Struthio camelus: one gene and its partner. The protein of the gene in region 1 binds, or shares a complex with, the protein of each later gene. Links are inferred from orthologs where the notes say so. Each region holds a gene or a part of one and is shown in the gene's direction. Other genes may lie near its edges.

Region 1 (5,048 bases):
GCTAAGCTTCCCTTTTCTAGGTCCCTACAAGTATCCTACAACTACCTGCCTGGATTCCCTAACTTGTATCATTGCAATAAGAAACTGCAATAGGGAACATGTATCCCACACGATTACCAGAACTGAAAGTAGAACATTATTGAAGCCAGAAGTAGTATATCATAATTGTGACAAGAAGCTGCAGTTACAGAACTTCAGTAGTAAGCATTCGAGCACACAGAAGGGGAAAGCATTCTGGGTTTAAATACCAGCATCAAATTTTATGGCAAAGCAAGCTAACATCTCCGTAAGTTTCTGCGAAGTAAAACATCAATAATGTTCTAAGGAGAATAAATAATATGGCTCATTATTCCCCCCTCCTCCTCCTCCCTCTTCATTTAACATCAGTGACCTAATTTCACTGAATCCAAACTGCCTGGTGACAAGGGACCATGTGAAGATAGTGACATGTTTTAAGTGGTCTCCTACCACACAGCAAGTCCTTTCCTGTATTCTGCCCTCGCTTTCTGTAGGTGCCTTACTAGCCGCACAGTGCATATACACAACTGCTAGCAGAATGGTACCAACTGCAGATGGGTTTGTTGCAACAACACAACTCGGCTATATCATTCACGAGCGGTTTCACTGTCCTCAGAACGCATCTCCTCAGTATAACCCCCTCCAGAACATCACGGCAACGTGTACAGTAAAATCCAGAAAGAAAGAAGGGGGAAACTTGAGCAAGCAACAATATAACCAAAGAAGCTCTTCTGGGAACCTGATTCGTACCAACAAGCTCTCTCAAATCTGCTCAGTGATATAAACAGCAAAGATGACAAGGATTAGGCATCATAAGCATCCAGGGTAGAGCCTACAGGTTTCTCTTTCCATCTGCTATATTCTTTTGCCTTAGTGTTTTAGAATTACAACATTAAATGCCGCTGAAAATTCCCTTACTGTGGTTATTCAGAGTCTTCTGATATCTTGGCATCGTCCAACAGCTGTCACGCACCACAGCGATAATCACGTAACACAGGTAAGTAAGCAAAAAAATCACGTTTCATCCAGCTACACCAAAGCCGAAACCAGGACTCGGCTTCTACCGCGAAGGGCGGCCGAACGACGGATCAGCAGAAGTTGCCAGCGGGCGCTCGGCACCGAGGCCTGCCCGCGCTCAACCTCCCTCCTCCCCTGCGAGCAGCACCGCTTCCCGGTACACCGGGAGCTCCGGACACCGCCGCCGCCGCCCCACACCTCCGGTGACCCGCCCCGACCGCACCGCTCACCGGGGTCGGGGCCGCCGAGCGGCCGCCTCAGCCGCGCGCCTCCCGCCATGACGGTTGAACGGCCGGAAGCGGTGCCGCGCGCCGACGCTCCCCGGGCCGCGCCGACGGCGGCCGCGAAGGTTCCGAGCCGCGCCGGGCTGCGCCTCGGCGTTCCGCGCCGCCCCGCTCCGTGCAGCGCGGGCGGGCGGGCGGGCCCGGCGGCGCCGTGCGCGCTGACGCAAGGCGCTCCGCACGCGCTGACGGGGGGGGGGGAGGGGGGCGCTCCTGCCCGCTGCCCGACTCCCAACATGGCGGCGGGGGGCGGCGGCGGCCGGGGGGGCAGCGCCCCGCGCTGGGGCGGCGGCGGCGGCGGCCGGGCCGCGGCGCAGGAGAAGCTGCCGGTTCACGTGAGTGCGGCGCCCCGCGACCGTCGCCGTTTACCTCCCCTCCCCCCTTCGCCCGCAGGGCCGCTCCCCGCCGCCCTCGACCCTCCGGGAAGGCCCTGCCCGCCCCGCCGTGACCTGCCCCGCCCCGTCGGCAGGGCCGAACCCGCCCCCGGGGCCTGCCCCCCGCCGGTGCCGCGGGGTGTCCCGGCGCCTCCCCCCCCGCCGGCGCCGTGGGGCGCCCTTGCCCCCCTTTTCCCGGGACCGTGGGGCGCCCCGGGGCCTGTGCCCCCCCCCTCCCCGGTGCCGCGGGGCGCCCTGGGTCCCGGCCCTCCCCCGTCCCGTCGGGTCTCACCCGCGTCTGCTCCCCGCAGGTGGAGGATGCGCTCTCCTACCTGGACCAGGTGAAGATACGCTTCGGCAGCGACCCCGCCACCTACAACGGCTTCCTAGAGATCATGAAGGAGTTCAAGAGCCAGAGGTAACGCCTGGGCCCCCCCGCGGGGCCCCTCGACCTGTGCGGGGGCCCCTCGGCCCTGCGGGGTCCCCCCAGCCTTCACGCCGGCCTTCCGCCTCCTCAGCCACACAGGCCACCGTGCTGGTCCTGTCCCCCTGTAGCGCGGTCAGCTAGACACTCGGGAGATGGAGGGTCTCCATCCATCCCAGCATCGTCTGCTCCATCCTTTCCTAGAGCCAAAACGCACAGGGAAAAGCAAATCTGTTTTTACTGCCCACTCTGAAACGCAGATCTGGACAAGGAGCTTGAGCGCAGAGCCCCTCTGTGACCTGCCAGCCCTAGAGGCGATGGCTGTCGTGTCTGTTTTGGGTAACCTGCACACTCATGTCTCTGCTCTGTGGAGAACGTTTTGTTTCCAGTGGGAGGCTGCAGAGCATGGCAGTCATTCCCTCTGTTTGGGCTGATCTCTAGGTCTGAGGATCCCAAACTTTCTTGTTAAAAATTGCATCTCTAAGGAACCAGACATTTGACATACCTCTGTAATTTTCTGGGTTTAACTTGTATATTTGGTTTGGATGCAAGTAACAAACTCCTCTCATTTCTAGCATTGACACCCCTGGAGTAATCAGGCGTGTTTCACAGCTGTTCCATGAGCATCCCGACCTCATTGTAGGATTCAATGCTTTCCTCCCTTTGGGCTACAGAATAGAAATTCCAAAGAATGGGAAGTTAAGTATACAGTCACCACTGACTAGTCAGGTAGGTTAAAGCACTTATATTACTCTAACTGAATTGTGGTATATGTATCCCTATATAGGTCTCTTGCATAGTTTAGGCTACAAAGCAACATGCAATACGTGTACATCTAAGGTTTTTATGTGGTTTTCAAAGTCTATGAGGATGGGTTTAGTATAAATCTAAATATTTATTCTCAAACTAGTTGTTACTTTAGCTTGCTAAACTAGGAATGAAATTCCCGAATGAATTGCCACTGCAAATCCAAATGCTTCAGTTAAATTTGAAAACTGAAACTGTCACTGGCTTGACATGTTGACATATGTTCTCAGTGCATAGCGTATAATGTCAAATTTGAAAAAAAAAAATCCCGGAAGAATCGTATTTCCAGTCTTTTAGTAAGAAAATGAGAAATATGTTTAGGCAATAGGCAAAAAAAAAAAAGTCAGGTGTTGTCATCCAGTTGTTCAAATCCTGCAAAGAAAGACATCTGCTGTAATATAAATAGATACATATTGGTCTTGGCTTCCCTTTTTCCTGTGTGGTTGTGGAATCTGAAATAGAGCTATCACCTCAATCCTACTTACAAACAAATGGTTTAACTCTAATTAGTAGCAGTAAATCTCTTTTAGATCTCAGTTCTCTTAGATCCCTCTGTTGCTCATAAATTTAGCACCTTTAAGGGGCCCTGTGTTGTAATATGTTTCTTAGAACTGACAGTTCTTCAGAAATAAAACGGTGGCAATAGAAGCTGCAGTGCAGATTATTTGGTACATTCGTGGCTTCTCTACCGTTTCAAGCGTAGTGGATAATGTAGCGACAGAAGCATTAATGAATCAGATAGTTCGTAAGCCAGATATGGCTTATGGGACGTTTTTACCTGATGATGTTAATGACATAAATAAGGAAATTTATTGGCTACATTAAATCTATTTTGTTTCTCCTTTATGCGTTAATCTTTTTTTAGCTAAACTGCTCTAAAATACTGATGCTAAATTGTTGAACTTGCACCTGTGTTTCTTTACAAGTCACTGTCTTGCATATCTTGTGCCACTAGGTGCCCTCAGAGCCTGTTCCCAGCACTCTCCCTGGCAGCGGGCTGTTGTTGCATTACTCTCAGGAGAATTCGCACAACCATAGTGATTGTTCGGAGGAGTTTAGGCAACAGCTTCCATACAAAGAAGATAAATCCCAAATTCCTTTGGAGTCTGATTCTGTAGAATTCAATAATGCCATCAGTTATGTGAATAAGATCAAAACACGTTTCCTTGACCATCCAGAAATTTACAGATCCTTTTTAGAAATTCTTCATACTTACCAGGTAAAAAGTCTTCCATATAAAAGCCTGTGGGTTTGCACTGTAGTTGTTTGAACAGTGTGGTCAAATGAAACATCTGTCTATTGAACAAGCTTGCACAGTTCCCAAGCGCTGGCCTTTGTCCAACAATTGCCTCGTAGATATTCACATGAAATGACAAATGTGTGAAAATTGCTGAACTTTCTGGGCTCTGAGGCATAAAATGATTGTATCTAGATCTGTCTTTACTAACTTTCAGTTGATTTAATGATGTTCTGTGTGATAGGATGCACTATAAGAACCTTGGGCTAGCTGATGTTATGTAAAGTTTGTTCATATTGCTTAGGGTCTTTGGTTTTGGCTGCTGGCTGCTATGGAGTTAAGAAATTTTCTTGCATAATGAGGTATGTTTTTATAGCTATTGAACATCTGTGTGTATCTTTCAGAAAGAACAGCTGAACACTAAAGGCCGACCCTTTCGAGGCATGTCAGAGGAAGAAGTGTTTACCGAAGTAGCAAACCTGTTCCGGGGGCAGGAGGATCTGCTGTCTGAGTTTGGACAGTTCCTCCCAGAGGCTAAAAGGTCTTTGGTATGTGTATGCTTCATGTAAGGCAGAATATTGAGTTCTCTCTGTTTGTAGGTAGAATACATAAAGAAGCTTTAGGAATGCAAAATATTATGGAAAAGCCTACCAGCCAGTAGGTGAACTTTCCTCTTTTTCATTGGTTGGAAGAGACTTAACTACATTCTCTCTGTTCTGTTTGGATAAACAGGATTCTTTTTTTGCACAGGTTAAGGAGAGCGCATTGAAATCATTATTTATGTACTTCAGTTCACAGGAAATGGACCATGTGAAGTGAACAGTGTCCAGAAAACTGAGCATGAAAAGAATCTGGAACATAGCAAAAAGCGATCCAGACCACTGCTGTTG
Region 2 (5,048 bases), on another chromosome or scaffold:
GAGGAGCCGGGGTGGGGGGGGCGCGGACGGGACCCCTGGGTGCACCGGGCCGGCCGGGGGCAGCGCAGCCGCCAGGAGCCCGGAGGTAAGGACACGGCTGCCCGGGGCCGGGGGCTCCTCGCCGCGGCGTGGCGGGGTGCCCCCCACCCCCCGTGCCCCCCGACGCAGCACTCGGGCCCCGGCGCCGGGCGAGGGGTGGGCAGGGGGAGCCGGGCACGGCCACCTCTGCACCCCCCTCTGCCCCCCGCCGCCACGTCGCGGCTGAGGCTTTGGACAGGGCCGGTGTACGACAGGGTCCCATCCTCAGCTGTGCATCCCCTTTTGGAGAGCAATTCCACCCCCCCCCGGTCCCCTCCTCCCCCCCCCCATCTTTTGGTCGTTTCATTAATAAAAAATGGTGTTTTAGAAGAAAACGTGGCAGTAGCGTGTTTCCCTGGGGCCGAGGGCTGGCCGGAGCGCTCCCCCCACCCCGCCAGCACCCAGGCTCAGCCGTGCACCTCGCGCCGACCCCCCCCCCACACCCGTGCCCCCAAGTACCCCCTCAGCCAGCATCCCCAGACTCCCCCCACCCTGCACCCCTCCTTGACCCCCACCCTGCAGCCCACTAACCCCCTGCACCCCATGCTGACCCCCACCCTGCACCCCTCCTTGACCCCCACCCTGCAGCCCACTAACCCCCTGCACCCCATGCTGACCCCCACCCTGCACCCCTCCTTGACCCCGATCCTGCACCCCACTAACCCCATGCTGACCCCGACCCTGCACCCCTACCCTGCACCTGACCCTCACCTTACTCCCTCCCCCTTGCCCCGCTGCACCCCCAAACCCGGCTCCCTGTCCCCTACACCGACCCCACCCCACCCTAAACCCCGCACCCTCCACTCTACCCCCTTCCCCCGCCCTAGCTCGGTGCGTGACAGCTTTAAGAGGCGGGGCTTCCGCGGAAATGACGTCACGGGCAGGGCCCCGCCCCTCCCGCCGGCACGCCGCGCGCCGCGCGCCCCCTGCCGGCCCGCTGCGGACCCCGCCCCGTTACGTCACCCATGGCCTCGCTCCCCCCCACGGCCTCGCTGCCCCCCACCGCCGCCGCCGCCGCCGCCGCCGCCGCGCCCGGAACGTGACGACAGCCACGCGCCTGCGCGCACCACCCTCCCTCCTCACGGCCGCGCCGCCCCGCCCCGCCTCCGCCGCGCGCCTGCGCCCCCTCCCGCGCGCCTGCGCCGCGCCGGCGCCCCGCGCGCCTGCGCAGGAGGGACGCGGGGCGCGAAAGGAGGAGGGGCGGGGAAAGGAAGGGCACGGGAGGAGGCGCGGCCCCCCCGCGCCTGCGCAGTGGCGGCGCCTGCGTCGTCGTCGTCGTCGTCGTCCTCCTCCTCCTCCTCCTCTTCCTCCTCCTCCTCCCCCTCCCCCGCCGCGCCAGGCCGAGAGCGGGAGGCGGCGGCGGCGGCAGCGGGGCGCGGGCCGCGCCTGCGCGAGGCGGGCGGGCGCGGGGAGGGGGGAGGAGGAGGAGGAGGAGAGCGGCGGGGCGCGGCGCGGCGTGCGCCTGCGCGGAGTGCGCGGCCCTGAGCGTCGGCGGCGGCGCCGCCTCTGTGTGTGTGCGTGTGTGTGTGTGTGTGCGGTGCGTGTGCGCGCGCGCGCGAGTGTGTGCGTGCGTGTGTGGCGTGTGCGCGAGGCGGCGGCGGGAGCGGGGCCGCGCCGGGCCGTCCTCCCCCCCCCCCACCCCTTCCCCCTCCTTCTCCCCCGGCCTTGCGCGGCATGGCAGCGGGCGCGGGGCCCCCCGCAGCCGCCCCCGGGCCCGGCAGGAGGAGGAGGACGGGCAAGCCGCAGCGGCCCGTGGGCTAGGCCCCGCGCCGCCGCCGCGCCCGCGCCGCCCCCCCCACCCCGGGGAGCCGCCGCCGCCGCTGAGGGGCCGCCCGCCCCCGTCTCGCTCCCCTCTGCCCGGTGCGGGGCGGGGTGGGGGGGCTCTCGGGGCCGCTCCCGGGCTGGATGAATGTGGGAGAAGATGGAGACCAAGACGATCGTCTACGACCTGGACACCTCCGGGGGGCTCATGGAGGTGAGGCCCGGCCGCGGGGCCGGCGGGCGGGAGGGGGGCGGGCAGGCCCGGCTAGGGACGACGTGGGGTTGCAAAATGGCGAGGGACCCCCCCCCCCAACCCCCTGCCGTCCCCCCAGAGGGGCCCGGAGCCCCGTGGCCATACAAGGAAGCGCGGAGGGAAGGAGGCGGCTCGCCCAATCGCCGGCAGAGGCCTTGCTGGACGCGGGGCCGGCGGCGGGCGGGCCCGGCCGGGGCCTTGTCCCCCACCGCCACACGCACCTTCCCCGGCGGGCCCAAGGCCCTCTCGTCCCGGCGGCCGGCTCGGAGAAGGGCACCCGGGGTCAGGGTCCGGCCCAGCCCCTCAGAGCCCTCTCTGTCTCTGTGTGTGTGCATGTGCAGCAAATCCAAGCCCTCCTGGCTCCCCCCAAGAGCGAAGATGGGGAAAAGAAGAGCAGGAGGCCCGAGAAGGAGCCCAGGCGAAGTGGCAGGGCCACTAACCATGATAGCTGCGATAGCTGCAAGGAAGGAGGGGATCTGCTGTGCTGCGATCACTGCCCCGCTGCTTTCCACCTCCAGTGCTGGTAAGGCTCGGCACTTATCTCCCTCCGGATCTGGGTGTCCCAGCCCAGGCAGCGCGTTCCCTCTAGCCAGGGCTGCACCACCACCGCCGGCAGCTCCTGCTTCCCGTTAGATCCATGCCTTGCACGGGGAGGGGGAAAACGGGGCCCGGCGCACCAGGCAGGAACAAAAAGGAGGTGCAAACCCCAATCGGCTCAGTCCCCGTGAGAAGTGATTAATCTGGAACAGCTGAGGTGAAAAGTCACTGCGCTGCCTTCTCTAGGGGCTGGGGACTGCGACCCCAGGCATTGCTGGGGGCTGTGATCCTCCTTTCTTTTTGTGCTGAGCAGTGGCTGAGAGGCCTAGAGGAGAAGTGAGGCTGCTAGCTGCGCGGCCTGGCTGCTTTGATACTGCCCGCACCAGGCCTTCCACCCCGCAAGCAGTTAACTTCCCCTCCTCACCCCTCTCAAAGGGTGCATTGCTTGGGGGGCCTCTGGAGGGTCGCGGCTAGGGGGAAGCTGCGGTCGCGTCTCTGCGCCAGGCCTGACGTTCCCAGCACTTCCGTGCTGCTGCAGCTGCTGGGAATAATGGAGGTTGCTTGTCTCTGTGTCTCCCTGCCTCACTGTTTACAATATGGCGACCTTCCTTTAAATTATATTTTTATTCTCAGCGCCATTTTGGCTGCAAATACGACTTCCAAACCCTCGCAGTGCTCCCAGAGGATCTGAAATGTGAAAATACCTTCCCTGTGTAAATCCAGGGCTCCAGACTTTAGAATCGGCCTGGTTTATTCCTTTCCCTCCTTTTTTCCTTCCTCCTGACGCTTCAGACCTGCTTGTCTCATCCACGGGAGTGACTCCTGTGAATTCAGAGTAGTTGGGTCTTCTTGCTTGGAGCTGTGTGGCTTTGTTGATAAAGGCAGATCTTTTTGCATGCAAATCTCGGGGCTGTGTTGGAGGTGCCAGTAGAGGCGGTTGCAAAGCAGTCGGTAGAGGCTGCAGTGGGGAGGATGGTAGAGGCTGCAGCGGGGAGGACTCTCGGTGCCTTGCCTCCGAGCTTCTCAAGCTAATAGCACAAAGCAACCTGGCAAAAGCACCTGAACTTTCCACCCTGAAGTTTTCTCTTTTCTGCATCGGGAGCCCAGATGCATCAAAGGCCGCCTTACCCGTATCTCTTGTTCAACAGTTGACACAGGCTGGCGGTTTGTGTTAAATTAGCACAGCCAGAGCGGATAATGGAGTGGAGGAGGGAGTGGGGCAAGTCAAACAGCTGGAGCTCGGGAGTGCAGAGTATTCTTCCTTAGGGGAGATTTTTTAACCGCATTCCTCTCTCTCTTCCATGCTTTGGAGCTTTGTTTGCTACCCTGTTACAGCTGTCTCCTCTCTTTATTTTTTTTATTTTCTTTTGCTTGGTGTTTATACTCTGCTTATATGCTAATTGCAGGTCTCTGAACACTTATTAAACTGATTACTGATACCAGGAAAACTGAATGTGCAGTCACAGTTCTGCAGGGAGTGTCCCGTTAGCAGTGTATAGCTAGACTTACCCAACAGTGCTCTACTGTGCAGCCATGACATCATCCCTCTTACCCTGAGGAAGTGCTACTGGTGGTAGTATATGTTCTCTAACGTTTGCTGAAAGATCACTAATATTTTTTGTCTGACTTTTTCGATAGGCCTTAATTAAGGTTTTGTTCTTGTACAGGACATAGTTGCTTAAAACTTGGTGTTTGCTTTCAGATGCTGTCAAAGTCAAATGGAAACACATTCTGAGCCTTCTCTAATTGAGGCTAGAGTGATTGCTAAAACTTCATGTTTAGATTTTGAGATGGAAGCGCTGTGACTAATGGTATAGCGTTTGCTAGTTGACTCTGTATCCTCGTTAATCCTAGCTGCAAATGAGTCCACTTTGCGCGTGCTTAAATCTGGCTAAATTTCATGACTTAATTTGACAAGTTTCTTGTGTTAGTAAGTAGGAAATGGTCGTGAAAATCAGACGTTTGTAAAGCTTTGGCTATGCTCTGGTCGAGTCAGTTGTATTAAAATATATGTATATATCTTTGGCTAATTAGTCACCTTTCAGAATAGGAAGAGGGGGCACAGTTCTGCTTATTCTTTCTCACTTTGTTACCTTTCTTGGAATATCTCTTGGATGAGCATTTGGATGGTCAGCAGTAACCCAAGCTCCAGTGTGTGAAGCAGCATAGCCTGGAATGCGCAGCAAGCTTGCTGCATGCTGTTGGATAGGCTGCTTCTCCAGAAGACCTCAAGCTTGGCCCATATTCTGCTTTCTTGCTCGAGGACCTCTGTCTGCCACTCAGCCAAGGCCTTCAGATGAACCAGGTTGTTTCAAACGGATGATGCTTGGGTTTTGTTTTCGTGTTTTCTTCCTTTCACCTCCTACATCTTGCTTAAAGTAAACTTCCATTCTGGATGTAAAGTTAGGCATAAAGGCAG

The links. The genes of interacting proteins can lie anywhere in the genome.
Region 2: the proteins of SIN3B (region 1) and PHF12 are in contact, whole or in part, in a cryo-EM structure (PDB 8BPA), measured with the Homo sapiens proteins. The link is inferred for Struthio camelus from reciprocal best matches to the Homo sapiens genes SIN3B and PHF12. Residues at the interface, in NP_056075.1 of Homo sapiens: Glu307, Phe311, Leu318, Glu322, Val323, Tyr324, Glu325, Asn326, Leu328, Arg329, Cys330, Ile331, Leu333, Phe334, Asn335, Glu343, Leu347, Pro350, Phe351, Lys354, Phe365, Lys395, Arg396, Glu490, Glu493, Leu494, Val497, Tyr545, Arg546, Ile547; in NP_001028733.1 of Homo sapiens: Leu20, Met21, Gln23, Ile24, Gln25, Leu27, Leu28, Pro30, Pro31, Lys32, Thr33, Asn264, Leu266, Val267, Leu269, Val271, Val273, Phe275, Thr276, Asn278, Arg279, Ser280, Arg282, Cys292, Pro293, Leu294, Pro316, Asn317, His318, Ile319.

What each region holds. Positions count from the first base shown.
Region 1 is NC_090967.1:5,368,021-5,373,068, forward strand, and holds the start of SIN3B (paired amphipathic helix protein Sin3b), read left to right. Parts: upstream 1-1,516; 5' UTR 1,517-1,552; coding exon 1,553-1,651; intron 1,652-2,001; coding exon 2,002-2,108; intron 2,109-2,689; coding exon 2,690-2,843; intron 2,844-3,876; coding exon 3,877-4,140; intron 4,141-4,562; coding exon 4,563-4,706; intron 4,707-4,949; coding exon 4,950-5,048. Other genes in the region: NWD1 (NACHT domain- and WD repeat-containing protein 1), read left to right, coding at 513-802.
Region 2 is NC_090957.1:16,782,306-16,787,353, reverse strand, and holds the start of PHF12 (PHD finger protein 12), read left to right. Parts: upstream 1-1,870; 5' UTR 1,871-1,987; coding exon 1,988-2,053; intron 2,054-2,433; coding exon 2,434-2,615; intron 2,616-5,048.